Linked DNA regions of Lytechinus pictus. The protein of the gene in region 1 purifies or fractionates together with the protein of each later gene. This does not show direct contact. Links are inferred from orthologs where the notes say so. Each region holds a gene or a part of one and is shown on either strand. Other genes may lie near its edges. The genes, in order: protein AATF-like and nucleolar protein 10-like.

Region 1 (17,004 bases):
GATAACTACGGACTGGGCCATTCAATGCTTTAAACACCAGTAAAAGTATCTTAAAATTCCACAAACTATTTTCACATGACCAACTTCAACCCTGGATTTAACACTATACCCTACCCTAAACCTAACATAAACCCCATTGCAACCCTAACCCTATATCTTAGAGGAAATCAAGCCCGGAGCAATTGTAGCCAGAGCAAATGTTTAGGCACTGCTCAATTCATGATCAGTGTGCGTAGATGCACCTGATAATTTTTTTTTTCCTGGGGCTTTTTTTAAAGCTCACCGGTCCAATTTTGCTTCATTGTAATTACAATTTATATTAGACCCTATGGCCCGTATTCTGAACTCGGTTTTGGATTAAACCCTGGTTTAAAGTTGTAGTTTAACTATGGAGAGCCAATTGGGGCACAATTCTCTATTAGTACATGTTCAATTTATTAACTCTTATGACACTCAAATCATTGATAACTCTCTCAGAATGATAACGTAAAGTATTTTTCTTCATTATGAAAGCAAAGGGAAACAAAATAGTAAATATAAGAAATATACAATATGAGCAGAATTTTTCTGGTCTTTAGCTCACCATAATTTTAGCACAGAGTTAGACCATGGTCTAAGTGAAACCTGACTTCAGAATACGGGCCTTTGGGAATGTCAGGGTCTCTTATTGAGTTTTTCAGGGCTTTGTAGGGCATTCTGTTTCTGTAAAATGTGGAAATTGCATTTAGATTCTAGGCCTAGATCTAGATCTACGCTACCATTGAGTACCTAGAATGTAAATTAGATCCAGCTTAGGCCTAGATCTACATGTATTTCAACAATCAAATAATGCGAACGCGAAGCGCGAGCTGAAAATTTATGACATTTTGACCTAAAAATTTGACATTCTAAGCACTCTTTGTAATCGTATACAGAATAGGTATATTACTAAACATCTCATGCGAGCGTGAAGCGCAAGCGAAAAAAATGAGATCGAGACCTAAAACGGGACACACTATTCATGTTTCGTAAATCACAAAAGGATGACTATGACATGAATAATGCGAACGCGAAGCGCGAGAAGAAAATTTTTGAAATTTTGAAACTGGATAATTCAAGCGCGTTTTGAGTAAAGAACAAACTGCGTGTTTTTGAGATTTAGACCTAGAATCTGGGCATTCTAGATACATTTCTTTTATTATGAAAATCAATAAAGCGCGAGCTGAAAAAAAATTATGGCGATCTGAAGACGGTCAATTTAAGCACTATTTCAAGCATCGTAGGAAAATTGTGAAGTGGATATTTCTGTTTGTTTCTGTTTATGGTAACTCCTGTAGGAACTCGGCAGGACAGCGTTTTGCTGGTAAACGCCAAGCTGGTATATAACCAATTACCTCGGAAGCATTTTACGTCTAGGTTAATCAGTCATAGTGGCTGACGTTATAGACGACAGATATCACCCTCGGGCCTTTTTATCCAAGTGGAGACAATGGCAGAGTAGGGATTCGAATTCACAACCTTGCGATTATGAGTCCAATGCTCTAACCACTGGACCACACGACCCGATTTCATGGGGAACTAACCCCGAACCTCCGTGTAATAATTTTCCCAGGGTAGGGTAGAAGACAGGGTAGAATATTATTTAATTGATATTCAAATTATTTCCAAGTTTTGTAAACTCCTTGTAATATGCAGCCTTTTAGCTGCCATGTGTGGTTTATATGAACAGATTTATCTTCACGTTCAATGAATGCCTTTGATAATAATACTCACCATTAAGAAAGTGCATAATACAATGTTTCTAAGTGCTACACATTACATGTTAATGTTAGGTCATGTAAAAGTAATCAGGTTACACAGGGGCCGCAGAAGGGGGGGGGGGCTAGGGGGGATTCAGCCCCCCCCCCCACTTTTTTCCAAAACCGTGCACAAAAACGTGGAAATGACCATAGGATTGTGATTTTTTGCATGGTCAGCCCCCCGCCCCCACTTTGAAAACCTTTCCGTGGCCCCTGTTACATGTATTATATACAGATAGATCACATACCTGTATAAATAAGGTACACCCTAACCGCACTCTCCAGGAGCTGAAAACAATGGATTTCAGGCTTATGTTGATTTCAATTTTACCTGTGAAATTCGTAATCATTATTTATACTTTAATAACTCTGAATTTGCAATATTTGTACATGTACTCTTTATGTATGTTAAACATACCTATGTATTTATTGTTGTATATATGTTATCATGTGCGTATATACTTGTTTTGTTTTTATGCATATGACACCAAGTGATACCAGCATATTGCTAAATGGGCACCTGAAGTAAATTATTGTTCAAATATAAAATAAAGTAAATTAATATATATATATATATATATTATAAACATTCATTATTTGTATAATATGTGTTTACTATAAAATATATATTTATGTTAAGAGAGGAATCTCATCTTTGATATGAGATCAACATCATAGCAAATCATTCGCGGATTGCAGATTGCAAGCAATAAATATCGAGGCATGTCAGAAGTGATTTGCGCAGAACTTCGCGTGTGAATCTGAATCCACTCTCATTTCAGGGATCAGTGACAATAACTTAACAAAGAATACAAAAGAAATGCTAATAAGCCAATCGTCAAATAAGCATGGTCATTGTATCATTAAACCAATCTTGTTTAACTTTTCTGCGCAACCTGATTTTGACATTAAAATTTCAAACTCGTCTTGCTCATTAATGCGTCAGTGAAGTGTTCATCTCATATCAGGTATCAAAATGAAGAGGAATAATTGAATTGTATGATGATGTAAATTAAATATCATAATTCATTTTCCTTAGAAGAAAAAAGACATGGGAATCGCGGCTTCCTTTTTTTCTGCGATGCACTGGATATATCTGGCTATGATAAAAAGGTGTGGCCTTCAAGCTAGGTAACTGTTTGATCATGTGTTTGGTTATATATATCAGTGAATAAATTTTAGTCAAATCTTACTATACAGATCATTGTTTCAATGGCCATTCATATTACCGGTACTGAGAATGTACGTAATGAGGAGTTACACAAAACAAAAAAGATCATCAAAATGCTATTGATTATATCAATATTTGATCGCATGGCTGTAAATATATCATTGAATAAGTTTCATTCCGATGTTGCTGTGCAGAGTATCGTTGCAATGAATGTTCGTATTACTGAGAATGTATGTAATGAGGAATTTAGGAAGAAGAAATGATAATCATATAATGGTATTAATTGTATCAATGTTTGATTGTGTGGCTATATATATATTAATTAAGTTTATTCAAATCTTACTATGCAAATCATTGTTACAATTAACTTTCATATTACTGAGAAAATGCATGATGAGGAATTGAACAAGAAGACAAAATAATCATAATATCAATTGTATTAATTTTTTTATAATGTGTCGATCTGTATTTATTTAAATAAATGAAAAGTATTCAAATCATACTATGCAGAGCATTGTTACAATGAACGTTCAAATTACTGAGAATGTAGTAATGAGGAATTTAACAAGAAACAAAAGTAATCATGATGATAATAAATAGTGCTTAATAGTAATAACACATTTACAGATCACCCCTGTCATTGGATCCTGGTATGCAGTTTTTCACAAATACCTACATGTAGGCTTTTGCATCATACATGAAATTGAGAAGACTTATTAATGCTTGGAAGAAGTATTCTGTCCTATTGTAACAAAAATATCTGTAGTTAAGAATAAAATGAGACTTTGTTTCTGTTATGGTTACTCTAGTCTAGACCAATGTATAATAGCATTGGGGAATCCCCCCCCCCCACCACCACCAAGGCTATGCCCCTCGCCCTTCTCATGGTCCAGGAGACTTTAACACCCTTTTTTATTCAAGTTTTGGCCTTGTTCTTGTGCTATAATTGAGAAATGTGTTCTATAAAAAAGGACCCTGAAAATATCAACATTTATGGCCCCCCCCCCTCCTAAATTTTGAAAATCACATGTGTGGGGTTCACACAGTTGTACCCCTGGGGAGCAATTCATGAAAGGATTTGTGGATGTTTTATCCGACAGTTGCCATAGTAACAGTGCTTCTCGGCCAATCAAAATCAAGGAAAGTTTTCAGATCTGTCAACTTTGTCGGATGAAAATGTTGATGAAATGCTCCTGTGATCAAAGATAATGGAATGAAATCATGTTTATACATGTATTTCATATTGTACCGTATGTATTAATAGGTGTTAATTCTAAGACACCGTTTGCCATCGCCAACTCATGTTATTATACTTCAGATTGCCTTGCCAAATTGTCATCCATTTTTTAATTATTCTACTTCAATCTGTTTGCCAGATATACATGTATCTTCTTGTCATTTTTATACTGTAAAAAATGGTTGGTTATTATTGTAAGATTTTGAAATATATTTTCTACTTCAATATGGAGCAGAATAAATAGAAGACATGCATGTAAAATTATTCATATGATTATGTTTTAAGGTCAATTCCTATTCAAGTTGATAAGAATAAAGAAAAATTTATAGCATTTCCTTTTCTACCAAAACCTAATGGACCTACTGGAATAGGAAAAATAACATATACTTTTAATGACATTGAACTCAATTTCTATTAAAGCAAATAAACCTTTACATGTATGAATTCTAAATAACAATGACATTTGACTTCATGACAATGAAGTCAAATTAAAAATAATAGTACTGCTGTATTGATTTTGTAATTGTATATTCAGGTTGATCATTTATAATATAAATATTTTGTTGCTTGAAATAGAAATCAGGAATCAAAATCCTCCAAAAATTCATTTTGCCCAATTGATCGTGGGCGTGGCAGTCTCTGAGCAGAGCCAGATAATTAATGTTTTGTGTGATGTTTATTATAAACCAGAGCATCATCTGAGTGTAATTTTCAATAATCGGGTATTTTTTATCCAATTATTGAGTGTGTGATGTGTATTGGAACCCAGAATATAATCTGAATGCACGCATGATTTAATAATGAGATTGATTAGGTTCAATTATGGTGTGTGTGTGGTGTTTTGTAACGAAGAAAATAATCTAAGTGCATTTTTTTATTATACTGATTGGTTATTATGTTCAGTTATGGTTTGTGCTTGAATATATATATATATATATATGGGGGCCAGGGTTCGATTCCCGGCAGAGACATTTTTTCGGCATAACCAATTTTTCCAAAGGGAAGATAGCTCTGGGAAACCTTGATTTAAGCTACGCCTACCATTGTTCTCTTCATCCATTTCTTTCACTATATATATATATATATATATTTGAGTGCAATTTTCAATAATCAGATAGGTAATTGATTATGTTCAATTATTGCATACATGTACATGTGTGATGTGTTTTATAACCCAGAAAATAATCTGAATGCGTGTTTTAATAACTTAGTAATCAGATTATTGAATATGTGATGTGTATTGATATTATTTAATAAATAGGGGAGACCGGGGTTAGTTGGAACATTTTTGACAAAAATGGCTGTAAAATCCAAATAGATTTTATTCGAGAAACAATAAATATATCAGCTTGAAGCATATATCTCAGGGCTTCAAATGTACCCCATAAAATTTTTAACTCTATTATGGTTACTGAAAAAATCCACCTTGAACAAGACTATCGCAAACGTTCCAACTTACCCCCATATCGGGGTAAGTTGGAACATGGTATGGGGTAAGTTGGAACACTGCATGGTCAATTAAGAATTATACTAAAACTACTTAAAACTGTAATATTACATGGTTTTAGCCTATTTGCTTTATCTTATTCAAGTTCAAAATATTAAAGTGTGGATTCGTTGAACTTTATGTTTTCTATTATACAGCCACTCACGCAAGCAGACTGTGTAGTAGAATTCCGCATATTTGGGTGCGTTTGAGTTTACATGCAATTAAGTGTACTATCAGCAATTTCATGTACTTCTGCATCAAATTTATGAGACAAAAATTGATTGTTTTTATTTTTTTCATAATTAATTATGCAAATAAGCATATAAAATTTTCCAGAAATTTGTTTTTTTTTGTATGTTTTTGCCTTAAACTATATTTATTAAGCTAGTAGAATTTTTGGTGAGAGTATCAATTTTCACATTTATAACAAATATCCACCAAAAAATGCAAAAAATATAATTTCTTATGTATTTTTTTTTTTTCGAACTTTGTTTTCTCCGATGGACTTTGTCAGGAGTCTTTTGCGATCATAAATAGCATAAAATTAATCTATGTGAACCAGCAAAAGTAAAAAATAATCATACATTTATGACTTTTGGTTGAAAAACGCAATTTGCATTGACCTTGTACATGGAATCACCTTTTTGAACAATTTTGGGTCCGAACATGCACATACAATTTGTTGCGTAATTTTTGTTGCGTAATTTTGAAACACAGGCATCACAAATTTGGTCTCAAATGATGCACAAGACTTGAAAGTAAAAAGTCAGCTAGCAGTGTAATAAAAAAAATTCGTGCGACGGCGTAGTGACAAAATTTCTTGAGGGGGGCTCAAATTGACCCCCCCCCCTTTTGATAAGGGTTAACATTGCATTAGGTGCCTACAATAGGCCTTAAATGCACACTCAGACCTAACTGATAAACAAAACAAGCATGGTATACAATACATGTTCAGAAGAGTGTGAAATACTTTGTTTTTTTTTCTCATATCCAATATTTTCATTCATAATTATGTTTGGGGTAAGTTGGAACATGTTCCAACTAGCCCCTTCAATTTTGTTCCAACTAACCCCGGAGGCTCATTTGACGTTTATAAGCTTACAGCACAAAAAAGGGACTTCACCATGGCATATTAATAACCTCATTTTGTAGCTTGGTATAAGTGTCTATTATACCCCTAAACTGGCCAACTTGATCTGTAAACTTCTCTGAGATAATCAAACATTTCTGAACGAGAAAAAATTTACTCAGAAGGTCAAAAAACAAAAATTTGTTTCTAACTTCACCAGGCTTGTTGCACATGTGTTGTCTGTAATATGGTGGATGGCCGTTGATAATGACAATAACTTGAGGGCAGTATTGCAGAAATTTATTTAAAGACGTTAAAGAAAATTACAATGTTTCAACTTACCCCATGTTCCAACTAACCCCGGTCTCCCCTACTGCTAGAAATTGTATTGAATCAACCGAGATAAAGTAGTCATGCATTGTCTTAAAATGCATACTTGCCTATAGTTTCTATTTCGTACATTGTAAAAACTCCGGTGTTGATTTAACACCAGCACGGAATATATATGTCCACACCAGAGAAGTATTGAAACAACACCAGTTTGGAATCAAACTGATGCTGTTTTAATACTAATTGGTGTTGTATAAACACCTACATGTATCTGGTGTTAGACCAAAACCAAACTGGTGTTGTTTAACACTTGTCTCGTGTGGACTTATACAGATTCCGGGCTGGTGTTAAATCAACACCAGAGTTTTTGCAGTGTAGGGACAATCCCTAGAGAGGAAGAAAAGAAGTGACACTTTTCACCCCCTCACTGCCTTGTGTTTTTTTGTTTTTGTTGAAAAAGTGTCTGTAGTATTGTGTATGATATTAAGCAGTACTTTTATCTATATTTTTTTACCCTTTCTTTATCATTTACCGTATTTGCATATATGGACCGACAGGCTTTGCAAGTGAAAAAAAATGCAATGAAAGTTCTCTTACGTGTATTAAACTAGAAAAGATTTGAAATATAATGTTCTATAACTCATCGATTTTTATTTCTTTCTCTACCTCGTGCATAAGGTTTTATCATGACTGGCTTTCACATTTTAATATGTATATTGTACTTATACCTTTCTACATGCACATGAACATTCCAGCTGCCACGGTGGCATAGTCTGCATGGCACAGACACTTGGTTTTTGCAATTCGCATAGTGCATATTAAATAGCGTCTGAAATAGTAAGACTAGATTCACTATGTATTGTGGCTGGCACAGACAGAGAGCTTGACATATAGTCTTCAATCTAGACATGGTATGATTGGTCATAAAATTTCTAATATGAGTCTGCTTGCAGACTAGCTGTGGTCTGGCGGTTCTGACTCTCGCGTTTGAAACAGAGGTTCATGGGTTCAGATCCCAGCCATGGTTTACATGTAATTTCCTTAAGCAAGAAATGACTCCACATTGTGCTGCACTCAACCCAGGTGAGGTGCATGGCAGGGTTGGGCTCAATTTCTTCAATTACAATTACGATAACAATTACGTAATTGAAGAAATGTTCAAATACAATTACTTTTCAATTAAATTACTTTTTTTTCATTTACAATTGCCAATTGCTTTTGTCAATTACAATTACATTTAGTTATTTTCTATAAAAGTCATAAATGAAATTAATTTGTATTCTGTACGTAGCACCACCTATTTCAATATAATTCTAAGTTACAGAGAAACTATGTGTTAAAGAGCACCGATTCTGCCTCTTTCTCTCTTTGATGCTGAAGCAGTTGACATGTAAAATGTCATGAATTTAAATCATAAATTAAGTAAGTTTATTGTAAAGTAATAAAATGTAATTGACAGTAATTGAAGTCAATTGCATTTTTTTTTCAATTACAATTACTTTTCCTTTCAAAATTTCAAATACAATTACAATTACTAATAAAACGTAATTACTTACATAATTGATCAATTACCTTGTAATTGTGCCCAACCCTGGTGAATGGGTACCTGGTCACGATAAATTCCATCAATGCACTAGGCACCGTTAATATTAACAGCTGGAGCTGAAGCTCGGGTAATATATAGTCCGCCAGTGAATGGGCAAATATAGAGAATCACTGCCTCATAAATATTGTGTATTAACTGAAAAGAAGATCGAAATTAAGCAACTTAAATAACTGGTTACAACACCTACAATCAGGGAAGATGCATGATGCAATTTAATACTTTTTCATGGAAAATTTTAGAATAATAAACAAATCAGAAAATTTTTTCAATTTTTTTATCAGACAAATATTTCATTCAATTTATCTGCTTGCTTATTCATTTTGCCATTTATATGATTTTCATGTATTTGATCACTTCTATATCTTAGCATTTATGGATTCCTTTCATTGTTTGTGTGTGTGGAGGGACAATGCAGATATGTATTTTGAGATGACTATTTGATATTTGTTTAAGAAATGTTATTAATATTTAGTGATTAAGACAAAGGATTGACCGTCCTGTGTTTGTGTGATTTGCAATCATTTAGTAATCCTTAGTCAATTTTGCAATTGGCTGAATTTGTTAATAATAAAAACAGAATTAAAAAAGTCAATCCTTTGGATTTGTACATCAGATATATTCAGACTAAAACTCATATATGTTTTTATTTGAAAGCCTTACTTTTGTTTCTCTATAAATTATTTTATACCCTTTGTTTATACTTTCAAGTAAATATTATGTATATTTCGTTCAGATGACGGTCTAGTTGGATGACAATGTGAAAATGAGGAATAAATATTTGATGTGATTTCTACTTTGTTATGACTCTTTTGTTCTTGTTGTTGTTGCCCAACATGGTGCATTTGGGGGAGGTTTATTTCCAATTGGTCCAATGCCAGTTCGTCCAATATTGCCAACTCGTCTACTCTCATTTGGTCTACCATCAGTTCGTCCACTATCCACATGATTGTTAATTCTTCTACTAGGCTCACCATTTTGTCTAATAACCAGTTGGTCCAATAACTGTTTAGTCCATATACCATTTGGTCTAATTGGACCAAGTGTTAATTGTGCAAAATGAATGAAAATAAAACGGATATTGGACCAACTGATTATGAGATGAAATGGTCATCTATAGACGAAATAGTGATTAGATGAAGTGATGATTGGAACAAATGGTCATTGGACCAAATGGTTGTTAGACGAAATGGCATTAGACTAAATGAAAGTAGACCATGTGTTGAGTGGACGAGTTGGCAGTAGACGAATTGGCAATTCACCATCGGGGAACTTTGGCGGGAGGTGTGGTTTAAATTAAAATGGAAATCCATGGACTCTAGCAAAACATTTATTTGAATAAAAAGAGAAAAATCAGCCAAGCATGACATTAATAAGTTCAATCGAAATCAAATGTAAAATGAGAATTTAATGACATTTTGAAATTTCATTTATTTTTCATAAACCACGATGCAACTATACAGTGATATGCAAATGAGACAATGATGTGGGGGGTGTGGTCTAGTGGTTATGACTTTCGTCTCAATCAGAGGAATGTGGGTTCTATTCCCAGCCATGGCGTGTTTTCCTTCAGCAAGAAATATACCCACATAGTGCGAACCCAGGGGGTGTTTCACAAAGATTTAAGCCGGGATGACGTAAGTCGCACTTAAATGCCAATATGTGTACACGATTTACAACGCGCGAACTTATTGATCAATGTACACAGTATAGTGCGCGTCCTCATGACACGATCTGACCAATGAGGTCAAGCCTTTTATACTGTACGCACCTAGACAGGTAAATGCCGGGTACCATGCAGCGGTTGAGGATATTCACACCACAGTTAAAATTAAACGTCCATCAAGAAAATATTGTTCGAATCTTGCCCCCTTCCCCCCCCAAAAAAAAAAAATTGTTTAAATGTTGGCTTCGAGTGGACACCCATTCCGAATTGTTTCAATCCTCAACCGTGTTCTATAATTATATACAAAACAAACTATATTTAAGTATTATTGAATATGAGAAATAATTCCATTTCTAACTTGCTCTTGGAAGATACGGTGCTAAGTTGCACAGTACACGTACGTGTGCTACATTCAGCATTTAAATGCATGTTCGTGTGGGAAAGCAAATTTCACAAGCTACGAAAAATGAAACACAAACAAGTAACGCTTTCAGAGCAAATTCTTGCTTTGAATAATCCTACACCTGTAGATGATCCTATTGATTACTGGGATGAAAGTGAGTATGATATTTACTGAATAAATATTGTTCTATATAGATAATACGATACTGCCATTAAAGAGCAGTGTGTCATTTCAGTCCCACACATGTCATTTTGTGTAACCGAGATTATCGGGGAGCCACGCCGCCGCGAGTAGCAGCCGAAGGCGAAGCCAAGCAAACGAAGACACTGGCCAGGAGCTCTCAGGCGCAGGCGCCACTTGTTCACTGCAACCATCCTGCCTGTGGGGAATCTATCATTAAAATATCAGTTTTTTGACCAAAATTATTAATTTCCATACAGTTACCCTTCCTGGTGGAGTACTTCAGGGATTGACAGTAGAGGCGCTGGTCCAAAAATTGGGATTGTCCCAGAAAACAAGGATATCCTCATAAACCAAGACAAATCATGTCTTGATAAATTGAGACTGTCCTTGTTTATGGGGACGTTTTTTTTTCACTTCCCCCTACGGGACAAAGACAGCAATTACGGGAATTGAGAGTGCTAAAAATAGATTCAGTGACCTCAATTCCCCCCAGTTCACCGTCTATTTTTCATGACTTACTGTCTTCCAATAATCTTGTTATGAAACCCGATATGTTTACATTGACTAGCACACTTGATTGGTGTCGGCACTTGACAGGTGAATGAACTTTCCTAGATTTCTTGTGTGAAGAAATCCTTATAAACTGAGACAGTCCCTGTAAACTGGGACGATCCCAATTTTCTGACCAGCGCCTCTACTGATTGAAACTAGGCCTACAAGGTAATTTATTTTTCATTAATCATGACATCAGTAACTTGGGAATAATTTTTGTATTCACCGGAGCGTTCAAAAACTTGAATTTTGGGGATATTTTTGTGTACGCCCTCTATTGGTGGAAAGTAATATGGCAAGAAAATTTTCATTTTTCAATCTCTATTTTAATTCAGAAAAAAATAATTTAAAGAATCAAATTTACGTAAGAGCGCAGAGCCAAGTTGTATGATGAATAGGTGTAATGGAAACTCTGTAAAAAAAATCAAGCATTTGTCCCAAAGAAAAAGAGAAAATAAGCCAAATATTGCCACCCTCAATATTTTGCCACACATGGAGATATAACAGAGAACAAGGTTATATCATAACCTTGTCCATTGAATGAGTGTCGGGCGCCTGGCTAGAATCGCGAATTTGATTAAGAGACTTGCTTTGACTTTTGCGATCAATTACTGGCATGACTGGTGGATTAGTTCTAACACTAAAAACAGATCTATCTCGAAGTTGGCCAGTGAGTACGAAGCCAAAACTGCGCTGAGGCTGAGCTGTGTGTGTGTGATTTGGAATTCTTGAATCTTAATGATAATGTTTTTTTTTTGTTATTTGAAATTGTTACTTAATCTTGTTGTGGTAGGCACGGCCATAGCGCACTAATCAGTGGTGCTCTCGCGGATATGCACAAAATTTGTGTAGGCGCGTCGGTTTGCTTATCAGTCAGAGGCGCACGGCCAATATGGGAGACTCTCCAATAAGGGAGACAATCTCCCATATTGGAGACTTGCTTTGTAAAAGAACAAAAGAAACAGCACCAACAAAAACATGATTTTTTTTCCACCCAAAATTTTGTCTCACTGAGGTCAGAAGCCCATTTGTTTTGTGTGTGATTGACAACAGAAATCCTTATCAAAACAAAGTAGACAGTGAATTTTTAAAGTAGACGGTGAAAAGGGGTAATTTTTCATGAGGAATCTGCTTATCAAATTTTTATTTGCCGCCAAGGTAATCCTTTTCCAGCAAATGTAAACAAAGGAAATTGATCTCCAAAACTGGAGACTGTCTCTGAAGTTGGATACCCAAATTCTTTACAAAAGTCTCTGATATTGGAGATAATCTCCCACATTGGAGACAGTCTCCAATATTGGCCATGCGCCTCTACTGGCCAATATGGGAGACAATCTCTCATATTGCAGAGATGCCAACCCTCCCGATTTCATCGGGAGGCTCCCGAAAATTCATCCCAACTCCCGCCCTTACGATTACCATCCTTATCCTCCCGAAATTACGATTTTTTTTTGCATTGATCAAATTGGATTGGAAGTACATGTATCGTCTGCTAACTTTAGCATGTAGTAACTCCATTACGTTTCGCTGCTACTAAATTCTGTGTGAAAGGCAGACAAATAAGGAGCAGCGAAAAGCTGGTGCATGTGATATGCCCAACGGGAATCCACTGTGCACCAGGCCGGTAGGCCCGGCTAGCTTCGCGAGGCGTGTGCGCTCGCGGCCGCTGGATTTGTCGAGTGGTGCGATGGAATATCGGTGTGTGATTTCGGCGTATTGATGGGTTGATATTGACACGAAATGGCGGAAAATCAACAAAAAAAGACCAAGAAATGGTCTCAGAAGTATAAGACTGAATACAGTCTCCAGTACCCGTGTATTCGGAAGTCGGAAAGAGGAATCTACCATGCATTTTGCACAATTTGCAGCGTGGACATTAAAGTTGAGCACGGAGGTCGTGATGATGTTCGGAAGCACGTAGGGAACAAACGGCATACGGACATTGCGAAGACGAGATCTTCGAGCTCCACTAGTATACCCTGTTGACTTATTTCACCAAGCAAGGGACCAGCGAGGAGGAAGACGTTACCCGCGCTTTAATAATAATAAAGAGGATAATTCCTCATTATTATAGTTGAAAAGGTAGGCTACTTTTCTTCTATTGTCCCCTCATTTTTTTTACATGTAAAAATGCATATTTGATATTTTTATTTTTATGTCAAAAAAGTGGGAACAATGTTTTTTTAAAAACATGTGAAATGCTCCAAAATAAGGGTCAGATTGCACCAGAGAGCATCTAGAAACCCAGAGCTTCCAGGGCCCTAAGGCGGGCCCTCGACCCCGGCCGCAAGGGTCGAGCGCTCCGCGCTCGAGATGTGCGCTACGCGCACATAATTTGGTGTCGGTTGCAAATCCTCCCTAATTCTGATTTCCAAAAGTTGGCATCTCTGATATTGGAGACTTGCTTTGTAAAAGAACAAAAGAAACAACACCAACCAAAGCGTTATTTTTTCCACCCAAAATTTTGTCTCGCTGAGGTCAGAAGCCCATTTGTTTTGTGTGTGGATAACAACAAATATCCTTATCGAAACAAAAGTAGACGGTGAATTTTTAAAATAGACGGTGAAAAGGAGTAATTTTTCATGAGGAATCTGCCTATCACATTTTTATTTGCCGCCAAGGTAATCCTTTTGCAGCAAATGTAAACAAAGGAGATTGGTCCCCCAAACTGGAGAATGTCGCTGAAATTGGATACCCAAATTCTCTCTCATGGGAGACAGTCTCCCATATTGGCCATGCGCCTCTACTGTCAGTGCGTTGATGCCCAGTTTGGTGCCAATATTATGGCAAATTGTAACGACTAACGTTTAAGTCTATGGCAGGGCGGAGGAATACTCAATTTCCCCCTCTGTGATTGTACCCCTGTACAATGCATACAGCGGCATCGTAACCGACTGGATTTTAGCTAGATTTTGATACCAAATTTAGCTTCGAAATCCAACGTAACCCGCTCAAAATAAGCTCAAATCTATCGATGATTCAGAGAATCTGATAAGCTCATTTTACGTTTCACCACTTTTTTTTCTCATTTTATGAATTTAGGGTTTGAATGGGTCCATAAATATGGATCGTCATCGAAACTTGAATTGAAGTTTCGATGTACATGGCTTTATATAGACCTGCGCAGGGAATCGCCCTATGCATACTGAAGTCCTAGATATAGGCTTGCAATTGCATGATGATGTTCATGGATTTTCCTGACGTGCGGCACGATGTTTACACACGAAATATGTATATTACGTCACTTAAAGTGATTGGTTAACATTGGTTTGACTTTTTAAAAATCTGAGCTAGAAGGTCACACTTGTCACCTGTGTCTGTGATATGTTACAAAAACGAAGCCCAGAAAAAATTGCGTTCGAAAATAATTATTTAGTGCTTCAAAAATTGAAATATAAAGTGACCGAAAACACCATCTTAATTTCATCCCATACACTTATGTGTACTATAGACGCGACGCCTCTTTACAAAATTGGGGTTTGCCTTGTAGTTTTAGCTTTTCATTCTCAATAATGGTTGTTTTCAGGGTTTATTAGTTCAAATACATGCACTTGTACACATGATTCATCTTGGTTTGAGGATTTTTTAAATCGGCTGCTCACAAAATTAAACAATACCTTTAATGTGCTTGCGCGCATCCGTGGAACATACAGTTGCAAGGTCAATTTCTTCTATGTAATTTTTGGCATATAAAAATGATATACTTTGCTACTTTTTCAAAAGTTATATGGAATTTCAGTAACTTTTAAGTAATTTTTATTATGTTTTAGGACTTGAGGATTATTGTTACGTATTTTTCATGACAAATTATAGAGCTTTGTAAATTTTAGGGTCCTACCTTCTTGTGGTGAGCTAAGCGATATCTGTCATTCTGTGTTTGGAGTTTGATGTGTGTGTGATGTGATTGGATGTACCGGCTTGTGGAAATAAGATTGACTGTCAATCTTGACGCGTACAGCATGACAGTGTGTACGTTACTTAACAGGTAGATCTATGTTACCATGGTTACACAGATAATTGTCTTTATAATCACTGAATTTACGGTCATCAAAGTGATAATAAAGTTGTCATGCAGTAAAGCTAAGCTTATCGTGGCAACATTTTTAATTACATACATACATGTAGATAATACAACTTTGTTCACTGTCTTGCTTGTAATTTGAGACACTCTTGAATAAAAATGAAATATTTTGTTACATACTCTGTTTGTTGTATTTTCTTTGTTAATTTGTTCTTGATAAAGTTGCAGAGATCAATAAATGAAAAGTAAAATAAAAATAGAAAGATTGTAAGTGATAATCAATGAATTGAAAGTTAAAACGATGATAATACTATAGAAACGTTAATAATATCTGAATTTGTTTTATTATTTCTAGACACTACAGCCAAAGTAGCAGAGTTTGATGAGGGAGATGAAGAAGATACTATTAAAAAGGCTCCTTCAGTTTTAAGAAGAAAGACTGCTCATCAATCGATTGAGGAAGATGGGAGATACACGGGACTGAAGACCTCGAGGAAACAATGGTCGTCATCAGGTCAGGAAACTGGGTGGGGTTTCACAAAAAATTGAAGTATGTCTAAGATGGTGTTGTAAGAAAATATTTGCAATCAAATGAAACAAATTCTGTCGCAAATTTTACAACTGAGAGATCAATTTTAGGTGTACTAGATCTGGGCCCCATATTACAAAGAGTTACGTTTGATCCGATCAATCTCAACTATATGGAAATCCATCAGTGTCATAATTTTTTCTACCGGAAATTTTCACAATGCACTTTGTGAACCAAGATAAGCACACTGAATTGTCAAGAAAACGATGAATGTGTGAATATACATCATATCCAGAAAATGTTTTGAATAATTATGCATTTTAGATGTTGACATTGCTGGCCTTCCATAGATGTGGTTGATCGGATCAATCACAACTTTTTATAAGACGGGGCCCTGATTACACTCTATGTTTCAAGAAGCAGATCAGCTCCCATTTGCAATTAATTGCAAGACATATGATTGATTTAGGGACTGAAAGTAGACTTACAATTGATCTCAAGTTTCTTGCAACACCCCATTAGTGTCGCATCACCACGTTGGTCAAATTAGGCCACAAGGATGCGTGCCACTGCGTATTAATAAGTTTGCGCGTTACTTAATCATGTGCTGATCAGCACGAAGCATGACTTAGTTGGAATCACTCTTAACTCTCTGTGAAACATCCCCCTAGTTGATCAACTTTGACTGCTTTTATACTTGCTTTACAAAGACATATCAGGCTTCAAGATTCAATATTTTTAAGGGAAATGCTACTTTCTCATTGGGTGCATTTCTATATTACTGCACAAATGGGTGAAAAGTGAAAAGGTTTTCATCAGGTCTACTTGGGGGCAGACTGATTTGAATCGCCATTTAAACCGGGGATTATGATCACCCCTTTTACAGAAATTTGTATGTTATACTGGGTCTGTATCTTGGTAAAACCCCTGCTCAGATAAACCATGTGGTGCCTCTTTTATTGTAGGACAAGGA
Region 2 (17,198 bases), on another chromosome or scaffold:
AATGTCAGGTATTTCTCCAAGCAATATTACTACACTGTCCCACATATGCTTTTCTGTGTCAAAAATATTGGTTTTTGAGCTAAGATTTATGATTACACAACGATAAGTTTACATACATGTACCAGATCTAGATATATGATAGTATAGTGACAATTAACCTTGATTTAAAAGACTTTCTCATGAAATAATTGTTTGCTGCAACTCCTTTCTTTTGCCTTTAAAGGCTGTCGCACACCTTACGATTGGTCTGCGACCCACTTTTGAAATAAAACGCATTAGAACTTGCTGCTGATATTGAGACATGGAATACATTACTGTGTAATGTTCTAAATCATTGTACGAATTCCCATGTTAAAATATGTGACAATGCTATCATCCTTATTACAATAAAAGCAAATTAAATTTCTAGTCATAAAGACGTCATAGCGATCATAAGATTGGCTAAGATTTAAAACCAATTTGGCCCTTACTCCAAAATAAAGGCTTGCAATCATCCAAAATTGTTACATTAGTATTCTTTCAGTTAATTTGAACCTCAAATATTAATAAAGATGCTTTTCATTCACATTCTCAGAAAATGAGCAAAGTCTGATTTGTTCCAAAATCGGATCGTGGACCAGTCGTCAGGGGTGCGGTAGCCTTAATATATGAACTCATGAGACCAAGAAGACGGTCTAAATTTTGGCATGCCTGATATCAGACAAAGACAAGGGCAAGCAGAAAATTTAAGGCACTTCTTTAGTTGCTCATAAAATAAAAGCCCACGGTAGCATAAAAAAAAAAATTTGCGATTCCTTGTACAGTTGATTTATAAACTTGATGAAGTACAATTGTTTGCAAGTAATGGTCAATGCAATCACCTAAATTAGCCCTACAATTTACTGCTCAGCTCTGTTACATGTATGTGACACTGGTCCAATTCCAATAGGACCAGCAACAACAATTTTTTGTCAGGTACTTTTCAGTATGGTCCTCTATATGTACTTTACATGAATTAATACAGAGATACCCGTACCTTCTGAATCCATGCATCTTTCAAACTTCATGGAAAGGTGGTTCACATCATAGCACCGGAATCTTGGCTTGTACGTGCCTGTCATTGAGAAGGGGGAGATGTAATCAAAATACACTAGTGAAAAGTCAATCGAAAGGGGCCATTCCACTATTCAAATCTGAAATCACAATTTAGTTTCAATTTTCAATATCAATGCATCTTTCAATCTTCACATTATCACATATATTTGTAAGGAAATTTTGAGATCAAGGCAACACATCATTTGCATTTGCATTTGTTTTTTTTCCAAGTATACAGTGTACCGGTATGTACGACAGGAATAGGATTTTTAGAAAATATAAATACAAATATAATACAAGCACACTGGACATAAGATTGTTAGAATACTGAAGTTACTGACCTGTGGCCAAAATATACTGTCCATCGGGAGAAACTTGAACACACCCACTGACTGTGGGCATCTCAAAGTCTTGGATGAGTTGGATCCGCTTTTGAACATCTGTGACAAAAAAGAATTAGATAGACATGTATTTCACTAATTTCACACCCTGTATTGCTTCAGTATTAATTCAATGATGTATTTGCGTTGAAACATGGAAAATGCCACTGGTAGGTATCCTTTCAAACTCTGTGGAATTCTCTTCCATGTCAGAGTAGGAAAACCCATACTTCAGTGACCCCCTTCAAGGGCAACCTGAAAACATACAGTCTGTTTAAGAGTGCTTTTTGACAGACATTGACTTATTGTTCAGACATGTATTATATATAAATAATTTCTGTTGAATTGTTCTGCTCTGAAGCGCCTTGAGCATCTACCGGGTAATCAAGATGGAAAGTGCACTATATAAATCTCATGTATTAATATTATTATTACTAAACCAATTATTCATGTCTAGAGAGAAGACTAGATGCCAAATCCTTTGTCTTTGTCAAATAAAGGCAGCCAGAGTACATACATGTAGTGAATCTAGTTTCACTACTTCAGACTATGCATTATGCAGTATGTGAAAACCAAAAGCCTGTGCCAAGGCAGCCATGGTACATAGCAAATCTAGTCTCACTTCTTCAGACTTTGCGATATGTACTATGCGGATTGCGAAAACCAGCAGTCTGTGCCTGCAGACTAGAGTGTACCATAGTGAGCTACAGGTAGGTGATGGTTTTCCCTTACAAAATAAAATCATGCGTAAAGGAAAATGATTTATTTTTTACAAAGGGACTTGCAAAGCAAAGAAAAATCTTGCTTGGCTGTAGATAGAATCTGCAGAAATAATGCATTGAGAAAACTGGGCAAATACTCATCCCAGGTCTTACAGAATACAATAATTTACATTTTGTAAAACATTTAATCTGTTTCATGGATAAAAATATAGAAACATAAAAAATCTGATTGGCCATAGAATCTGTAGACAGCAGTTGACACCAAGTGCATTTACACCAGTGATCCAACTTCATGCATGTTGAGTACCGGTAATAAAAAAAAAGCAAATTGCAAATATTCCCATGTTCATCTAAACTACTTACTTTACTTCATTCCTGATAAAGGTAAATGCCAGTCGTGGTAATGATCTCAAAATGAGTTCAAACAGAATCCAATGAAATTACCATCAGAGTGCCAAATGACTCTGGTAGAAAACGTGTAATTGCTGAGAATTTCTGGTATTTTTTTAGGGAATACAACATGTAATACACTGTCCACGTTTGCTTTTCTGTGTTAGTAATCATCAGAATTATCAGTTTTCAGCTAAGCTTTCATGATTTCACAAAGATAAGTTTACGTTAATGTACCAGATGTAGATAAATGATTATGTTGCAACCATTAACCTTGATCTAAAAGACTTTGTCATGAAATAATTGTTTGCCCTAACTACTTTCTTTTCCCTTTAAATATTCAACATATAGGGCAGCGAACATTGTACTACAAACATGTCTATAAATAATATGAAACAGGTGCTTACCATGGTCAGACTTTTGTAGTGCTCTTTTCTTCCTATCAGACAGCCACTGTGGAAAAAGAACAGAGCGTGAGAGAGACTTAGTTAAACTGAAACTTCTTGGCCCAAATTCACGAAGGTTGAACTCAAAGTCATTTCCTGTATAAAATTACGCTTTTAAATGTCCAATGCTGATGCACGTTTGTCACAGTGTGCCAAATTGATGCGAGCTGCTGTGGTCATCTTCACTATTTCATATAAATATAATAAAGACTACCATCAATACAATACTCGTTCCCACTCTAAATTCCATTATCCTGTAGCGTTCAATCAGTCAACCCTTTATTCATTTAAATCCACTGGTCCTCGAATATGGAATTCCCTCCCTTCCAATGTAATTTCTAGCACAAATGTTACTGCATTTAAAACAAAACTCAAAAGTTCACTTGTAATTATGTATGCTAATTAATCACATAATTCATTTCCACACCCTTTTCCTGACCCCCTCTCCCCTGTAGGTTTACCGTCTTATTTCTTATGTACTGTTTGTTATTGTTACCTTTTCACTTTTATGTACGTTTATATATATACATGTATGTATTGGGTGTCCCACTCATCAAGCTTTTGCTTTTAGGGGCACCCTAATCATTTAAACTATACTGTACATTCATGTATGATTTTGTATATATTTTGGTTTGTATATTTATAATTTTTTAAATGATTGAATAAATGAATTGAAAGGAAATGAAATTCATAAGTCCATTGTTTTTAATTAATGGGTTCACTATTTGGGGGGGGGGGTGCACTGTGACATGGGTTCAAGCGATGGTTTTTAAAACCTTTCTGAATTTGAGTCATTGAAATTTGAATCAAGATAGACCTGGAAGCTCAACTGCTGATAGAACATGCATTCTTCCAGTGTATTTGTGTAAATGTTAAAGGGGAATCCAGCCTTGGCCATAAAATGTTGTGTTGGGAAGGAGAAAAATAAATTAAACAGAATGGCAAAAGTTTGAAAGATATCGGACAAGCAATAAGAAAGTTATAGCTGCTTTAAAATTGAGATCACTAATACTATGTAGATTTCAAATTGGCAACTGGGTAAGTAAATTATGACAAGGGGCAAGGACAACTTTCCCATAGGCCATGTACTTTATTATCAGGGATTTGTGGTTTTCTCCTAAGTACCCATTCCCCTGGGGCAGTAATCTAAATATAATCCAGGTAGTATATTGTTTTATGTCCTCATGAAAGAAAAATATAATTTGAAATAAAACTTTTGGGAAAAATTACATTTTAGCCATAATATGTATTGGAGTACATTGAAGAGTAGTCCTCAGTCAGACTGCAGGTCCCAAGAAAGTGGCTTCTTTCATCCAAGTGATATTCATGACTTGAGATGTTTTGCATATTTAATGAGCTTGATGCGGACCAAAACACCTCTTTTCATTCGGTCATTGCTGCTCTAATTATGCATCGAATTTCATGAATTTGGTACCATTGTAAAGAAGAAGAATCATTCTTTCAGGTCATGTGTTTGGATTTATTCAAAGATTTTGTAATATAGGTTAAAATTTTGATCTAAAATATGCTACAAAATAAATATTTTCACCTGACAAAAGCTGCTATTTTCACACTTTATTTTTGTTTGAGCCCAAATGATTTTTATATCATGATAAAGCTGAATATGTATGCTTTGAAATGATATAGGTTTCAAAATAAGAATTGGTTTAATCGGGTCAAGATCACACTTTTCATTTGCCAAGTACATAAAGCAGCTTGAAAACAAGTATACTGCACTCTGATTGGTCAAAAAGACCACACAATGGCAAATTCCAACGGTTCCAGTGCCTGGGTTCGTGGGAAGGTCACACTTCCCATGTGGTAATCTCCTCAAATACCCCGCGCCTGTTGTTCTGTGAACCTTATCCAGCCAATCAGTACTCTGGATTTCATGCAAGTACAAAATTTCAGAAATCTCGTCTTGTACCTTGGTGGGAAAAGTGTGATCTTGACCCGATTAAAAGGTGCCGCATATCAAGAGTGGCATTGTGAGAAAGTACAGAAGTTCAGCTTTATGGTGATATAGATATCATTGAGGCTCAAAATAAAAAGTTTTGCACAATTTGCAAAAGAAAACAGAGGAAGAAAATTCAGTTTTGAGGCACAATTTCAGGCCAGAAATTTACTTATTTAACAAAATGTCGTATACAAAATAAATGACCAATATGAAAGAGTAACTTTTACTCTATCTGATGGTGCAATAATATTTCATTTAACTTGAGGTTAAAACAGGTAAATTCTTAGAGAAAGAAAATCTCATGAATCACGAGATTTTGCAAGGAGGAGGATTCAGCCACGAGATGATTTGGATGAATCTGGCCTTTTTGCTCATTAGCATAGGGACCTGCGGTCTGACTGGTCCTTGCCTTACATCACTTTGACATCCCATATGCAGCCAATTTGAAGTCTCCATGGGTATAGTGATTACCAATATTTACAACTTTTAAAAATTCATAACTTTCTTGTTGTTTGTCCAATATTGTTCAAACTTTCACCTATCAACTTGTCTGATTTTTCTTTTTCTTATAAAAACAAGTTTTTATTTGGGTTGGATTCCCCTTTAAGAGACAGAGAGAATGAGAAAGATATAGATCTATGTCAAGAAGGGGGTAGTGCACACTGAGAACCTTCCCCCGCCCCCCCCCAAAAAAAAACAATCACTTACTAGAGAGATCAGATACTTGAAATCTTATTACCCCCAAAAAATATTGTACCATCGGAGAGCTTGTGAAAAATGATGGTACTTAAATCGACCAATTATTTGAAATATTGAAGATTTGTGTTTAAATTATGAGGGACATACAAAAGTCATCAGTATCTTTGTGACATTTTCTTTATTACTTTATTACCGGATCTACTGGAAAAATGCAATTACTTATGCAGTCGTGTTTCCAGGTCTATCACTGTTGCTATCTCCATCTAACTATTAAAATAATGTGTGCCTGTGTGCTGTGCCAGAGTTACTATTCCCAAGGGTGAGTATATTGCACTGCAGACCAAAACTTGTCTAACTGTGACTTGAATCTGTTCAAAGTTGATGCAGTAACTATCTCTGCCGGCAAGGAGTTCCATTCATTTACAACTCTGGCACTGAAAGTATTTTTTCTAACATCCAGTCTGCTTCTCTTCACATACAATTTGCATGGATGTCCACGTGTCGTCTGAGTTGATGCAGATGCACCCATGGGTACATTACCGCCGCCGTGCACAGGATAACCGCTGGCACGGCACTTGCAATAATTTTTTTATTCTTTTGTAAAAATTAGAAATTTATCTACATTTTACATGAAGTAAGCTTTGGATATGAAACTTACCAAACGATATGAAGCCAATTTCAATTCCTCTCTGTCTTTCTGGTACTTTATATCGATGATTTTACTTGATGTCGAAGCAGGCATGCGGCCAATTCGCTGGTTTTCTCTATACGCACAGAGAGGGCGCGCGATATTATTTAATAAACTTGCTTGTTTGCGTCGTTTACGTCAGATCAGCTGTACTGCTGGTTGCGTTCTAGGCGCTCCGCATTTTTTTCGCTGTTCAGCGTTATTTTATGATGTAGCGCTATCAGCGATTATACGTGAGATGCCTGTTGATTTTTTTGGTACAATTTCCTATTATGCGCTGGCGACTTAAATCTAGACTGTTCGATAAGAAAAATTCGCATTTCGATTGTTGTTTGCGTAATTTCCACCGCAGTATTAAGGATCGGACGGAGTATCTTGGCTGAGATTTGAAGGTAAGCGTTTAAAATCTAGGGACAGTGATTTTCCGTTTCAAAAAATTGCCTTTTCCGTTTCAGCATGTCAGAAAACGGAAATTCCGTTCTCCCATAGACTTTGTACACACGGAAAAGTGACAATTCCGTTTACACATTTACATGCACACTCGCACTGGTCAAAATTTGTATCTGCTACTGTACCAACAACACAATAAAATCCGTTCTAATCGGATCTATGCGGGTGAATAAAATATTTTAACACACCCATTTTGCATGCATACATCCCCACCTTTCATATTATTAGCATTATTTCACGGTGAAATGATATTTCATCGATAATTTTGGGGGTTTTTGGACATCGTTATCATCAGTCAACGTCTTTTCCCAATCCGCCATCTTGGATTTTAAGTCCACGATATCGTGCTGTTACATCTTCAAACGTAGAGGGCAGCAACACACAACTGTGTACATGTAGCTGAACGATACATGTGTGCATGTGAAGCCCAACCCGGCCGGCCGGGTACGGGTACGGTGCGGGGTACAATCGAGTGTGCTGATGTCGAGTGCAGTCACGATGTGTGAATTGTCATGATAGTAGCGAAGTGAGATCGTGTTTTCTGGGTTTTTTTGGCCATTTAATATTCTCATTTTGTTGTGATTTTGGAGTAATTTCTGTTGCTATTCTGTGTATTTTGAGGGAAAATACGTTTTCCGTGATTTTCCGTTTGAAATGCCATTTTCCGTTTCAAAAGGCCCTTTCCGTGAATTCCGTCCGTTTTCCGCGATCGCGGAAAATCACTGTCCCTAAAAATCCCTTTTTATGAATATTTTGGAGCATATTTTAAAAATTAATTCAATGAACAGATTTAGATGAATAAATTTAGTATATTGTGAAGATTTTGGCGTGTGTCATTCTCTCACATTCGTGTGATGAATGAAAACGTCAAAATTCATTATGAAATGACATGCGTTGTGCGAGGTTAGTACAACTAACCTCGCATGTTTTTTATGTGAGTGCCCTTGGGTGCTCTTTTCCAAATATTGCGATCAGGAACAGCTGTATTTCAGCTTTGGCAGTAGAGGCGCACGGCCAATATTGGAGACTGTCTCCAATGTGGGAGATTATCTCCAATATCAGAGACTTTTGTAAAGAATTTGGCCCATTTTGGGTATCCAATTTCAGAGACAGTCTCCAGTTTTGGAGTCCAATTTCCTTTGTTTACATTTGCTGCAAAAGGATTACCTTGGCGGCAAATAAAAATGTGATAAGCAGATTCTTCATGAAAAATTACCCCTTTTCACCGTCTTCTTTTGTTTTGATAAGGAATTTTGTTGAATGTTGTCAATCACACACAAAACAAATGGGCTTCTGACCTCAGGCTCAGCCTCAGTGAGACAAAATTTTGGGTGGAAAAAATCATGCTTTTGTTGGTGTTGTTTCTTTTGTCCTTTTGCAAAGCAAGTCTCCAATGTGGGAGATTGTCTCCCCTATTGGAGAGAGAGAGTCTCCCATATTGGCCGTGCGCCTCTACTGTTTGGTCTCGATGTCGTTCGAATCCTCAGACATCACTTCGCGGATCGCTTGGCCTTGGCCTTGGATTCGCGTGCGCCGTAAAGTCTGAAGCCGAGTTATGCGAAACTGCATTAGGCCTAGTGCCCAGTAATTAATGCAAATTTCTAACGAGAAGCTGTTAGGCCTAACTAAGTATTTAAGTTAAATACTTACATGTACTGATGTAAGTTAGGCTTTTAAATTTAAGTAAAAAACGATTATCATGTAACCCTACAAAAAATGATATAAGTGGGACTGAACTGAACAACCACGCAAAAGAATATTTTGTAAGATCTTACCTCTGGTAAGCTTTTACCAGTGCTTAGGTTGTAAACCTTGACATTATTTGCAGAAGAAACTTGCATCCCTTTTACGAACACTAACGTCGAATATAAGAATCAGGATTTTCGTTCACAAACACGACTGTCTAAAGTTTGCAGCTTCCACTGTCCAGGTTGCAGATGGTAGACCACGTGCCTAATGACGTCAACCATTATCTACTGAATATTCATCAGCGCTGGTAGCCGGTCTCTAGCTCTGCATGCTAGGAGGGGGGGGGGGGGGGGAGTGTGTATTATTGATCCAGTCGTAGAGTACAGTATGTCTTGTCTTGGAGAAAGTCCCCAAATCCAAAAGTGGGGATTATTAGAATCACACCTACCAGAACGCATGAAAATCACTTCCTTTCTCCAGAACACAGTCCCCAACTCTCGCACAACTCTGTGGCAAAATGATAACACACACAAATGAAACACACACTGTATATAAACCAAACACTAGGGTTCTCTCCCTATTATATACTCGTGATCCAGTCCCCACTCAATGGGAAATCCAGTTTGATTTTCACGGCGGTGGGGACAGTTCCAACAGTATAGTATACTCGTGATCCAGTCCCCACTCAATGGGAAATCCAGTTTGATTTTCACGGCGGTGGGGATAGCTCCAACAGTATTCATACTCGTGATACCGTCCCCTCACAACATAAAATCGTGCTCGTTCAACAAGGGGATGGGGACAGTTTCCTGATGCATTGTGACAAGGATAAAACATCTTAGGGTATGGCTGCGGAAGCTGAGGGAGGGGGGGGGGGGGGGGGGGGACTTCAGCCCCTACCTTTTTCCAAAACATTGTGAATCCTTCTGAACTAAAATCCTATAGAAATGCCTTCATATATAGCATAAAAGTGCAGTCTTTTTTCCAGACCCGGTTAATTAAAAATTGTAATATAAGTTCAAAGTCTTTTTTTCCAGACCCGGTTGTTAAAATTATAATATAAGTTCAAAGTCTTTTTCCAGACCCACTTTTACAAATCATTTCTCAAAGAGTAAAAAAGTAATAAAGATCCCCAATCTCTTATTATTGTTAAATAACATGGAAATATAGCGTAGTCTTTCCTCCAGACCCAGTTATAAAAATTGTTAAAAACACAACAAAACAAAAACCCTGCAATCTTATCAACATTGAATAGCACGGAAATATGGTGTAGTCTTTGCTCCAGTTATTTCAAAATAGGAAATCACGAGAAACAATAAAAACAAAAAACAACATTAATTAACCAAGGCCCCCCTAATATTATTGATGTAGAATAACGTTGTTGTTGTTGTTGTTGTATTATTATTTATAATTTTGGAATAACAGGGTTTGGAGAAAAGACTAAACTCGATTTTTAATTTTTATTCCACTGGAATATCATTATGGTATCTTAGTTTGGACTTATATGATAATTTTTGAAACAACCGGGTCTGGAAAAAAAGACTTTGGACTTATATTATAATTTTTAATTAACCGGGTCTGGAAAAAAAGACTTTGAATTTATATTACAATTTTTAATTAACCGGGTCTGGAAAAAAGACTGCACTTTTATGCTATATATGAAGGCATTTCTATAGGATTTTAGTTCAGAAGGATTCACAATGTTTTGGAAAAAGGTAGGGGCTGAAGTCCCCCCCCCCCCTCCCTCAGCTTCCGCAGCCATACCCTAAGATGTTTTATCCTTGTCACAATACATCAGGAAACTGTCCCCATCCCCTTGTTGAACGAGCACGATTTTATGTTGTGAGGGGACGGTATCACGAGTATGAATACTGTTGGAGCTATCCCCACCGCCGTGAAAATCAAACTGGATTTCCCATTGAGTGGGGACTGGATCACGAGTATACTATACTGTTGGAACTGTCCCCACCGCCGTGAAAATCAAACTGGATTTCCCATTGAGTGGGGACTGGATCACGAGTATATAATAGGGAGAGGACCCTAGTGTTTATATATACAGTGTGTGTTTCATTTGTGTGTGTTATCATTTTGCCACAGAGTTGTGCGAGAGTTGGGGACTGTGTTCTGGAGAAAGGAAGTGATTTTCATGTAGGTGTGATTCTAATAATCCCCACTTTTGGATTTGGGGACTATATCACGATCATGCCGAAACGAGAAAGGATAGGCTATACATGACAGGGGCCGCGGAACAGTTTTCAAAGTGGGGGGGGGGGGGGGGCTTACCATGCAAAAAATCACAATCATATGGTCATTTTTACGTTTTTGTACACGGTTTTGGAAAAAAGTGGGGGGGGGGGGGTGTTGCACCCACAAATGTAATAACGCCCACAAATGTAATAACGCCCACAAATGTAATAACACTTTACCCACAAATGTAATAACGCCCACAAATGTAATAACACTTTACCCACAAATGTAATAATTTCACCCACAAATGTAATAATGCACTTTACCCACAAATGTAATAATTTTTGATCGCCCACAAATGTAATAATGACTTTACCCACAAATGTAATAAATTTGAAGGGATTTTTGGCGAGTCCGTTCTAAACTAAAATCCTATAGTAATGCGTTCATATAGCACAAAAGTGCAAAGTCTTTTTTTCCAAACCCGGTTAATTGAACATTATAGTACAAGTCCAAAGTCTTTTTCCAGACCCGGTTGTTTCAAAATTATAATATACGTCCAAAGTCTTTTTTCAGACCCGGTTAATTCAAAAATTATAATATACGTCCAAAGTCTTTTTTCAGACCCGGTTGTTTCAAAAATTAGAATATAAGTCCAAAGTCTTTTTTCCAGACCCGGTTGATTCAAAAATGATAATATACGTCCAAAGTCTTATTTCCAAACCCGGTTGTTTCAAAAATTGTAATATAAATCCAAAGTCTTTTTTCCAGACCCGGTTGTTTAAAAAATTATCATATAAGTCCAAAGTCTTTTTTTCAGACCCGGTTGTTAAAAAAATTATAATATAAGTCCAAAGTCTTTTTTCCAGACCCGGTTGTTTCAAAAATTATAATATACTTCCAAAGTCTTTTTTCCAGACCCAGTTGTTTCAAAAATTATAATATAAGTCCAAAGTCTTTTTTCAGACCCGGTTAATTAAAAAATTATACTGCAAGTCCAAAGTCTTTTTTTCAGACCCGGTTGTTTCAAAAATTTTAATATAAGTCCAAAGTCTTTTTCCAGACCCGTTTATTTCAAAAATTATAATATAAGTCCATACTAAGATACAATAATGATATTCCAGTGGAATAAAAATGAGAATCGAGCTTAGTCTTTTCTCCAGACCCAGTTGATTAAAACTAGTGGACTTAATGTCTTTGTTGTTTTTTCAACTTATACGGCATATATTTTGAATATATGCGCTAAGAGAATCAAGCGTAGTCTTTTCTCCAGACCCGGTTACTTAAAACTAAAAACTAAACCCTATAGAAATGCGTTCATATAGCACAAAAGTGCAAAGTCTTTTTTCCAGACCCGGATAATTAAACAATTACAATATAAGTCCAAAGTCTTTCCTCCAGACCCGGGTATTAAAAAATGAATTTATAAACTTCAAATCTAAGACCAATTTTCCAAAGTTTCACCCAGTAAAAAAGTATGTCTTTTCCCCACACCCAGTTTTTTTTTTCAATGATACTAAGACCCCTACAAAACATTGTAATAATGCATGGGTAAAGCAAACATCCTTTCTCCAGACTTGGTTATTATTTGAAAAAAATAAAATAGTTTTTACAAATATTCTAAAACGAATACCCAATAATCTAATTACTGTGGAATTACATGAAGACCGATTGTCGAAGATCGACTTTCCTCCAGACGCAATTATTTCAAGAATAAAAAATCAATAAAACCCAACCCCCAAAACGAATCTTAGAACCAAAAATCCTCCAAATTAAGACCATGCATGTAGAAAAGCACATGTTTAGAGCGTTGTCTTTATTCCAGACCCAGTAGTTTAAAAATGATTTAAACAATCTTAAAAACAAAAGACTTTGTCATATTCTTATTCTTGTGGAATAACACGAGTATTATGCTTAGTCATTCGTCTAGACCCGGTTATTTAAAAGATAAACAAATATTGAAAAAAAATCACAGCTAAGACCAATCTTCAAAATTAAAACCCACTTAAAATGCTTGGGCTTAGAGTGTTGTCTTTACCCCTCACCCAGTTCTCTTTAAAATACAAATTAAGCGAAACATTAATCTTAAAACTTAGACCCCAGCATCTTCCAAACTATAAAACCCTTGTGATAACGCATACTTAATTTGACCAGACCAGTTTATTAAAAAAAAAACAGAACAAAAAAATTTAACCCTCTTCCAGCCTAACATCCTGTAATAAATGATGTAATTAAACATTCATTTTGTCTTCCAGGCAAAGAAATTTATTATTAAAAAAACAACATCAAAACTTAGAGCCCGGGGAGCATTTCATGAAAGGAGTTGTCTGACGTTTTATCCGACACTGGTAGCACTGCTTCTTAGCCAATCAACATCAAGAACAGTTGTCAGATCTGACAACTTGTCGGACATAAATGTTGATGAAATACTCCCCCAATCATCTTATTCATGTTGAACAGGCACAAGAATATGATTGAGTCTTAGTTATGAGGATTTCATTTATCTTATTTTTAAAATGACAAGGTCTGGAATAAAGAAAACTCTCTAAACTTTTATTTATTGAAGGTTCTTAGTTTGAAGGATAGTTGGGCCTTAGATTCTGTTATTCTTTTTTAATGATTTTGGTTATTTTGAAATAATTGGGTCTGGAGGAAAGACTACATCATATTTCCATGTTATTCAATGTTGATAAGATTGCAGGGTCTTTGTTTTGTTGTTGTGTTTTAAATGACTTTTATAACTGGGTCTGGAGGAAAGACTACGCTATATTTCCATGTTTTTCATCATAAAGAGGATCGTGGGTCTTTGTTTGCTTTTCTTTATTAATACTAATTTATTATTATCATTCATCATTTCTTATTTGAAAGATCTTGGTCTGGAGGAAAGACTACGCTATATTTCCATGTAATTTCAACATAAATAGGATCGTGGGTCCTTGTTTGCTTTTTTTATTATTACTAATTTATTATTATTATTATTCATTTTGTTATTTGAAAGATTTGGGTCTGGATGAAAGACTACGCTATATTTCCATGTTATTTAATATTTACAAGAGAGTTGGGGACTTTGTTACTTATCTACCAGTTTTAATTAACTGGGTCTGGAGAAAAGACTAAGCTCGATTCTCATTTTATTCCACTAGAATATCATTATCGTATCTTAGTTTGGACTTATAATTATTTTGAAACTACCGGGTCTGGAAAAAAGACTTTGGACGTATTTTATAATTTTTGAAACAACCGGGTCTGGAAAAAAGACTTTGGACGTATATTATAATTTTTTTACCACTTGACTGCTATAGGCTGTAATGCGCACTGGCCACCCTGGTGCTACTGAATGGGACTAACAAGTTAGATCTATTTGGGACTACAACCGACAGCAACTTGGGAGGAAAATTATAAATAATTACATCACTTTCCTCATCACTATTTCCAATATCCATACAAAAAAATCACCTTCCCCTTCTGACACAGATCTTTCACTAAATTTATTACTCCTATCGTCTAAACTTTCCTTAAAAATCCTTCTGATTCACTTCTCCACTGCGAGTCGCCATTTTGAACTGAGCGCCGTACACTATCACTAGCTATGGAAAAGTGAATACAAACATTTATAAATCACTGCAAAAGTTTCGATAACTTTTGTGGAATAGCGCCATCTGGTGACCATAGTCTGAAATTTGATATACATCCGCTGTTTTCATCGTAGGGGTATTAACAGCGCGGTGCTGAGGCCTCAAACAGAAGATAGGTCAAGCACGTAATATTACGTGCCCCGCACAGATTGTACACTCGCCCAGCACGTAATATTACGTGCTACGCAGTCAAGTGGTTAAACAACCGGGTCTGGAAAAAAGACTTTGGACTTGCATTATAATTTTTTAATTAACCGGGTCTGAAAAAAGACTTTGGACGTATATTATAATTTTTGAAACTACCGGGTCTGGAAAAAAGACTTTGGACGTATTTTATAATTTTTGAAACAACCGGGTCTGGAAAAAAGACTTTGGACGTATATTATAATTTTTTAAACAACCGGGTCTGGAAAAAAGACTTTGGACTTGCATTATAATTTTTTAATTAACCGGGTCTGAAAAAAGACTTTGGACGTATATTATAATTTTTGAAACAACCGGGTCTGGAAAAAAGACTTTGGACTGATATTATATTGTTTGAAACGACCGGGTCTGAAAAAAAAGACTTTGGACTCGCATTATAATTTTTTAATTAACCGGGTCTGAAAAAAGACTTTGGACGTATATTATAATTTTTTAAACAACCGGGTCTGGAAAAAAGACTTTGGACTTATATTATATTGTTTGAAACGACCGGGTCTGAAAAAAAAGACTTTGGACTCGCATTATAATTTTTGACACAACTGGGTCTGGAAAAAAGACTTTGGACGTATATTATAATTTTTGAATTAACCGGGTCTGGAAAAAAGACTTTGGACGTATATTATAATTTTTTAATTAACCGGGTCTGGAAAAAAGACTTTGGACGTATATTATAATTTTTGAAACAACCGGGTCTGGAATAAAGACTTTGGACTTCTATTATAATGTTTGAAACGACCGGGTCTGAAAAAAAAGACTTTGGACATATATTATAATTTTTGAAACAACCGGGTCTGGAAAAAAGACTTTGGACGTATTTTATAATTTTTGAAACAACCGGGTCTGGAAAAAAGACTTTGGACGTATATTATAATTTTTTAAACAACCGGGTCTGGAAAAAAGACTTTGGACTTGCATTATAATTTTTTAATTAACCGGGTCTGAAAAAAGACTTTGGACGTATATTATAATTTTTGAAACTACCGGGTCTGGAAAAAAGACTTTGGACGTATTTTATAATTTTTGAAACAACCGGGTCTGGAAAAAAGACTTTGGACGTATATTATAATTTTTTAAACAACCGGGTCTGGAAAAAAGACTTTGGACTTGCATTATAATTTTTTAATTAACCGGGTCTGAAAAAAGACTTTGGACGTATATTATAATTTTTGAAACAACCGGGTCTGGAAAAAAGACTTTGGACTGATATTATATTGTTTGAAACGACCGGATCTGAAAAAAAAGACTTTGGACTCGCATTATAATTTTTTAATTAACCGGGTCTGAAAAAAGACTTTGGACGTATATTATAATTTTTTAAACAACCGGGTCTGGAAAAAAGACTTTGGACTTATATTATATTGTTTGAAACGACCGGGTCTGAAAAAAAAGACTTTGGACTCGCATTATAATTTTTGACACAACTGGGTCTGGAAAAAAGACTTTGGACGTATATTATAATTTTTGAATTAACCGGGTCTGGAAAAAAGACTTTGGACGTATATTATAATTTTTTAATTAACCGGGTCTGGAAAAAAGACTTTGGACGTATATTATAATTTTTGAAACAACCGGGTCTGGAATAAAGACTTTGGACTTCTATTATAATGTTTGAAACGACCGGGTCTGAAAAAAAAGACTTTGGACATATATTATAATTTTTGAAACAACCGGGTCTGGAAAAAAGACTTTGGACTTGCATTATAATTTTTGAATTAGCCGGGTCTGGAAAAAAGACTTTGGACGTATATTATAATTTTGAAACAACCGGGTCTGGAAAAAGACTTTGGAATTGTACTATAATGTTTTATTAACCAGGTCTGGAAAAAAGACTTTGCACTTTTGTGCTATATGAACGCATTACTATAGGATTTTAGTTTAGAACAGATTCGCCAAAAATCCCTTCAAATTTATTACATTTGTGGGTAAAGTCATTATTACATTTGTGGGCGATCAAAAATTATTACATTTGTGGGTAAAGTGCATTATTACATTTGTGGGTGAAATTATTACATTTGTGGGTAAAGTGTTATTACATTTGTGGGCGTTATTACATTTGTGGGTAAAGTGTTATTACATTTGTGGGCGTTATTACATTTGTGGGCGATTATTACATTTGTGGGTGTAACAGGGGGGCTGAAGCCCCGGCCAGCCCCCCCCCCCCCCCGCTTCCGCGGCCCCTGCATGATACTCTAAACGTCATTCTGAAAGGTAAAGTCTCCCCCAGAAAATTGCTGATTTGAATCGATCGAGAAAAATCCTACAAGCACAACGTACGCTGAAAATTTCTTGAAAATCGGATGTAAAAATAAAAAAAGTTACTATATAGCAGGGGCGTAATAGGGGTCGGGGGCCAGGGGGGGGGGGGATAGCCAAAAATGTCCTGGTCATATCATGGTATGAACGGGCAGTGGTGTTTATTTAGGGGGCACAATTTACATAGCAATGTGGGGGGGGGGGGAACAAATAAACAAATCGCCAGAGAGCGAAGCGAGCCCGAATTTTTTTTTCCATTATACAAAGTAAATAACATATTTCATTGCTTTCCATTCATGATTTTCATTACGTTACCTCCTATATTTACTTATATTTCCCCTCGGATGTGGAACCAAGACCCCCCCCCCCCTCCCCCTGAACGCCAGAAATTAGGGTCCATACAGGGATCGAGCTGTTATAGAGC

Evidence for each region.
Region 2: the proteins of protein AATF-like (region 1) and nucleolar protein 10-like purify together in Homo sapiens (affinity purification with mass spectrometry; 4 studies listed by BioGRID and IntAct, counting the BioPlex papers as one, with this or other methods). This does not show direct contact. The link is inferred for Lytechinus pictus from reciprocal best matches to the Homo sapiens genes AATF and NOL10.

The regions. Positions count from the first base shown.
Region 1 is NC_087250.1:8,035,867-8,052,870, reverse strand, and holds the start of protein AATF-like, read left to right. Parts: upstream 1-10,751; 5' UTR 10,752-10,770; coding exon 10,771-10,900; intron 10,901-15,857; coding exon 15,858-16,016; intron 16,017-16,996; coding exon 16,997-17,004. UniProt on the Homo sapiens protein: Part of the small subunit (SSU) processome, first precursor of the small eukaryotic ribosomal subunit.
Region 2 is NC_087261.1:27,012,242-27,029,439, forward strand, and holds the start of nucleolar protein 10-like, read right to left. Parts: upstream 9,086-17,198; 5' UTR 8,648-9,085; coding exon 8,582-8,647; intron 3,020-8,581; coding exon 2,974-3,019; intron 1,515-2,973; coding exon 1,416-1,514; intron 1,094-1,415; coding exon 1,016-1,093; intron 1-1,015.